Linked DNA regions of Kluyveromyces lactis. The protein of the gene in region 2 binds, or shares a complex with, the protein of the main gene of each other region. Links are inferred from orthologs where the notes say so. Each region holds a gene or a part of one and is shown on either strand. Other genes may lie near its edges.

Region 1 (2,713 bases), about 570 kb from region 2:
CGTTTCATCTACTACAGGCGCTCTCCATAGAAATAGATCACCAGGTTTGATCGATTTCCCGGTGGGTGATTGTATAAAGTCCGAACCAATCAATTTCTTAAGACTAGATATGAAGTCTCCAATAAACCTTTCTTCTACTGTGAGCTCAAAGAGGGTAGTTTGAGAATCCAGTGGTTCAGCAGCGTGATACATCAATTGACGCCTATCCTTCGCACTATTTTTAGGTTTTAATAGGTATATGCCATGATCAAGTACAGTAGCCGAATACCTGTTGAATATATCAAGGGCAGGACTCAATTTGCTGCCGCTTCTATGGCATATTATGTTGTGTTCAGATAATTGACCAAGCAACGGATTGAATGAGCTAAGTTCACATAACTGTGGTAGAAACAGTCTCAATTGGTACTTGCAGGATTGTATTTCTCTAACTTCAAGATGGAAAGGCCTCGATAGTGGACGTTTAGGGCAGATGTATTGTATTTCTACCTCTCTTGGTTTATGTGTAAGATCACAAGTGCAACCATCTACCAAAGTTTCGCTAAGATACACTCTACCAGTTTTACTCTTAGCAAAGTGATAATCAATAGTTGAGTTGTAGTTAGATGAGTTCCCTAAAAGGTACGTTTCGCCAAAATAACCTTTTTGCACAACAGTCCTCGTCTCACCAGAGGATATAATATAAGTCCAGTAAGAAATAGGCACTGTATTCATTTCAATAGGGTTTGGAGCCAAGATCGCATTAACCATGTTAACTGCTTCAATGAGAGCTCCTTCAGAATTAAAAGTATCTTCTTCATGATGTTGAATCAACGACGAAGTGTTCCTTTGGTAACACAAAACATCGGACCCTTCGTAGGGGCGGAAAAGCCGTCCTTCTTGGAGCAATGTCTCATTATCTATTACACTTAGGAACTCTTGCTCATCAACGTATTTTAGCGAATAAGGCGTAGAGCTATATGGATTGAATGCTGAGACACCTGAATAAATCCATGAGATAGCAAACACCACCGACGTAACTGGTAAAAATATCATATAAGGCGGCAGATACACTAGCTACAATCAACCTCTGACGAATTGACAACAATGCGCCAACAAATAATAGCTCCGTATATCATTTTTGTACTTTCCACTAAGTAAACTTAAACGTTTGTAATATAAGAATCCAATTAATCGAATTAATCCAATTTTAAACCTTAAACTGAATAAATGTAATAATAAAAAGGATGAATCTCACAGCATAGACTGGTGTTTCCATCATATAACACAGCGGAAAACTGGTTGGATTTATCTTCAAATAATTAGCTATGCTAAAAATGATTCAATTGTTACTAATACTTCTGTTTCACTTGCGTGCGGTAGTGGCATCTCTACAAGGTACTGGTGATCTTTACTTATTGAACAATTTGAATGAAAGGTACAGCCTGGCAACTTTCGAAGCTGGTGATGAGGTAGGTATTAACCTGGCTGTGACAGCCAATCGAATTACAGACGGTGAATATAAAGTTTGTGGGACTTTTCAAGATTATTACGATGAGTGTTTCTCTTTCATCCATATAAAGCAACCATTGTCATACGAACTGGAGCTGGTGGTACTTGATGATAAACTAGTTCGTATGTCGATTCATGCAGATGATAGTATTGATGGCATCGTACCACTGATAAAGGAGGTTGGAAATGGTCCCATACCGGAAAGTATCAAGTTGAAGAAAAGAACTCTGACTTACGAGGCAAAGAAAAAAGCTCAGAGAAAGGATACAGGGACCGCTGCATTTGAAGAAGATGTTGTAGAGAACAAAACGTTTCTTCAGAAAAACTGGAAGTACGTTGTCATAGGGCTACTCGCCTATGTCTTTTTATCCAGTGGATCACAGAAATAATTTCATGTTTTACCATCTTGCTACGTATATATACGTTCAAGAAGACAAAGAAATGACCAGACGACTGACTTTTATTGCTTGGATAGGATAGGAGTGGTTGAAACATTCAATTAACTCTACGAATACGAAATGTATTACAATTAGTGACATGGATTATTTTGATGAGCAATTTGCCTTGAGTTTATTAATTGAGTGCTCGATGGAAAGACTGAAGTGAAAGATTTACCAATGTTGGCTTTTTAAAAGGATCGAAACTAAGCAACTCCATTACTCACTTCTTATCAACAATCGATCATGCTTTTCTCATTTGCACTGTAACACTGTAGTTGCTGTTACGATAATTCACTTTGCACTTGACTTTCCAGTCAATTAGACTGCCAATCAGCTTCACGATATCATGCACAGTAGTGTTTACTACCAACTCGATAGAACTGTATCCCACTTCACATCTTATTTAATTTATTTACCTGTATATCGTCATAAACAAGTAATGAATGAATTTAAAACTGTTGGGCATTCAATCGTAAACCTCACATCAAACAGTATAGAAAAAAAAGGGAATCCTTAAAAGCCAACCATATCCACATAGCTGTTAGTTTTCGCGGCAATGCAGTGGCATATCAGTGATTACATCAATCCGGTGACGGTACAGAGGTATCAGACTTTGGTTACATCTATCTTGCCAAAAGCAAAAGTATCAAACGATATATCGCTTTCAGGTTCACATTTATTGTTCTTCCATCCAGTAACAGCTGCCCTCAGCGAAGACGGATACTACTCGTACCAGACTCCTGGTGCTATATTGAAACGTGAAGTGCCCTTTCGGCGTCGCATGT
Region 2 (3,128 bases):
TGATTTTTGGTCATTCCAGCGTTGAATTGAAGAACACCAAGACTCATTGGTGCATACGATTCAATCCGTTCCATGCACTTAGTCAAGTAAAACTTGGGGATTCTGGGTTAAGAGTGTCATATTCCGAGAAATGGATCAATTCCAAACTTAAGAATAGTCAAGTGACAAACACAGAGGAAGGATTACAATTCGGAAAACATTGGGATTGGTCCTATACGACTTTATACAATGGGACTGTGTCAGAAGATAGTGAATACAAGTTTGTTGTGGATAACCAGTATCAGCTTCCAATAGAAAAATTAACAAGAAGAGATCCCATTTTATTCTATGATGATTTCATTCTATTTGAAGATGAATTGGCAGACAACGGTATCAGTATGCTTTCGATAAAACTTAGGGTAATGGCAGAGAGACTTCTTTTATTATGCAGATTCTTCCTAAGAGTCGATGAGGTCTTGTTTAAAATCATTGATACAAGAATATATGTCGAATTCAATGAGGACCTTGTTGTACGGGAATGGAAATATATGGAGGATGATTACAAGACAGTATTGAATAAATGTAGATTAAATTCAAACGATCCTAAGAAATCTTTGAGAGACAGCAACTGGGTTGCGTCTGTATTACCTTTGAAGGAGCGCGTATGTGAAGTATTGAGGAAAAAAGAAGATATAGAAGAAGTTGTCGAATAAGCACTCACCGCTACTGTCGAATTGACAGCACTTTTGGAAAATTCAAGAAAGAGTTGATTTGCTCATTCATGAATCTACCTATTTAATTATGTTACCCAAAAGGAATAATATACAAATCTCGTAATACATGTGATAATATTATATACACACTATTCAAGTTTCTGAATCCAAAAGGTATCTGGATACGTTAGTGATTTCTCTGTTATCATTATTTTGCTGAAGTTCTTGCAATTTTCTTACAGCTAATTGAGTTAATTCAGGTTTTTTATTCAGTTTCTGAGATGTCTTCAATACAATACCCCAACCTTTCACGTAGGCTTCTGCCAACTCAACAGATCTCAACGCATTTGATAAACTTGATTGCAAAGCAGCTTCAGGGTCAGAATCTGATTGAGACTTCAAGTAATGCAAATAAGCTAATTGACCAAATGCTTCATAACTGAACGGCACCCCAATTATGACTTCTTCCATGCAATATATTGCTTGACGTAGGTCCCCAGCCTCCTGGTATTCTTGCGAAAGTAACGACCATATTTCTGCATCTAGAGGAAACTTCTCAACCAGATCCAGTAGTTCTTTTACCCATTTTTCTTTACTCATCGAAGGTCTCTCTATCGCAAGTAGCCTTTTCTTCATCTGTACGTAGTCTTCTGAATCAGTAGCTATTTCCAGCTGATTCTTGATCAAATCCTCGATATATTTCTTAGCCGCATCATCGGATCGAGTGACCTGTATTAACATAGAGTGCATCACATGAATTCTTGGAGAATCGTCACCTAGACGATCTGTCACAGTTTTGTACAATGTTTCAGCCTCTGTGTCTTCACCACGAACAAGACAAAGATAAAACAATAATTCGACCATTGAGAAATAACTAATTTCGTCAAGCCCATTTAACCCAGCATCTATCAAAAGTTTCGTTTCCTTATAAGCCAAATCAATTTCTTTAGGTGGCAGAATGGCCCATGCGCCAGTCTTATGGATTGCCAGTAATTTGTTCTTAAGTAAATCCATGATATGAACAAAGTTAGATTTCGACCCTAAGATGTATGTGAGATTCGAGCACAATTTCAACACAGTAAATTACTCACTAAATTCCACGAGCAGTAATTGTATTGAAGGTATTCAAACATTTAACACCACCATACGTATCTCACCCATGTTATACCCTGTAATATGTCTCTTACAGAACCGATGCTTAAACAATCACAGAGCCAAATGAATCGTTGGAGCTAAAGCACGTGACACATGCTCCGTTTCGACATGTATTTTCATATCACCATAAACGACGAAAATTTTTCAGGAATCAAGGCCTCAGTATCTGATTGCCACACGCGAAGAGTTGAAGTTGAACTTCTAAGAGATGAGATGAACTTCTTCCATATACATGATTCAAGAAGGCGTTAATGACCCCGTTTTACAGTCCAATACAGGATCAGTTCGAACTTACTTTTAAAAGTTTTTGTGTTTTCCAGACTTGAAGAACGTCAAAGACACGGTGGTAGCAGAAACAAGTGACTAGAGATTAGTAACAGTAGCCGAAGATGTCAATCAATATTTGCAGAGACAACAATGACCCTTTCTACCGTTATAAAATGCCTCCAATTCAGGCTAAGATTGAAGGTAGAGGTAATGGTATCAAAACTGTTGTTATGAATACCATGGATGTTGCCCGTGCTTTAAACAGACCAGCTCCATACATCATCAAATATTTCGGGTTTGAATTGGGTGCCCAAACTGCTATCAATGTTGAAAATGATCGTTACATTGTCAATGGTGCTCATCAACCAGCCAAATTACAGGACGTATTGGATGGTTTCATCACTAAGTTTGTCCTTTGTGGATCCTGTAAGAATCCTGAAACTGAAATTGTTATCACTAAAGATGGTGATTTGGTTAGAGACTGTAAAGCTTGTGGTAAGAGAACCCCTATGGATTTGAGACATAAGTTGTCCTCGTTCGTCTTAAAGAACCCTCCTGACAGTATGAACGGTTCCAAGAAAAAGAAGAAGGCTGCCACTGCGTCTGCTAATGTCAGAGGTGGTGGTCTTTCTATTAGTGATATCGCTCAAGGTAAATCCCAAGCTGAAGCTGGTGACGATGCCGAAGAAAACGATTCCGATGATGATGAATTGGCCAGACAAATTAATGCCGCTGCCTCTAACTTGGCTACCATTGAAGTCAAGGATGAGGACTGGGCCGTTGATATGTCTGAAGAAGCCATCAGAGCTCGTGCGAAAGAATTACAAGGTGAAGCTGACAAAGAAACTGGCGAATTCTCCAAGTTGGAAGAATTTGGTGAATGGGTACTACATGAAGAAGAACTACCTACCGATATTGAATTATACAAAAAGATTGCAGAACTCGAGCTTCTGGAAGATCCAAAGGTTGCTGCAGTTCTGGCCCAAGTTCTTTTCGATGAAGATATCGTATCGG

Evidence for each region.
Region 1: EMC2 (region 2) and EMC10 share a complex: the UniProt entries of both Saccharomyces cerevisiae proteins name them as parts of the ER membrane protein complex. The link is inferred for Kluyveromyces lactis from reciprocal best matches to the Saccharomyces cerevisiae genes EMC2 and EMC10.

What each region holds. Positions count from the first base shown.
Region 1 is NC_006041.1:1,123,089-1,125,801, forward strand, and holds EMC10 (Emc10p), read left to right. Parts: upstream 1-1,304; coding exon 1,305-1,877; downstream 1,878-2,713. Other genes in the region: YOS9 (Yos9p), read right to left, coding at 1-1,032; hydroxyacyl-thioester dehydratase HTD2, read left to right, coding at 2,485-2,713. UniProt on the Saccharomyces cerevisiae protein: Part of the endoplasmic reticulum membrane protein complex (EMC) that enables the energy-independent insertion into endoplasmic reticulum membranes of newly synthesized membrane proteins.
Region 2 is NC_006041.1:552,991-556,118, reverse strand, and holds EMC2 (Emc2p), read right to left. Parts: upstream 1,707-3,128; coding exon 846-1,706; downstream 1-845. Other genes in the region: TIP41 (Tip41p), read left to right, coding at 1-692; TIF5 (translation initiation factor eIF5), read left to right, coding at 2,237-3,128. UniProt on the Saccharomyces cerevisiae protein: Part of the endoplasmic reticulum membrane protein complex (EMC) that enables the energy-independent insertion into endoplasmic reticulum membranes of newly synthesized membrane proteins.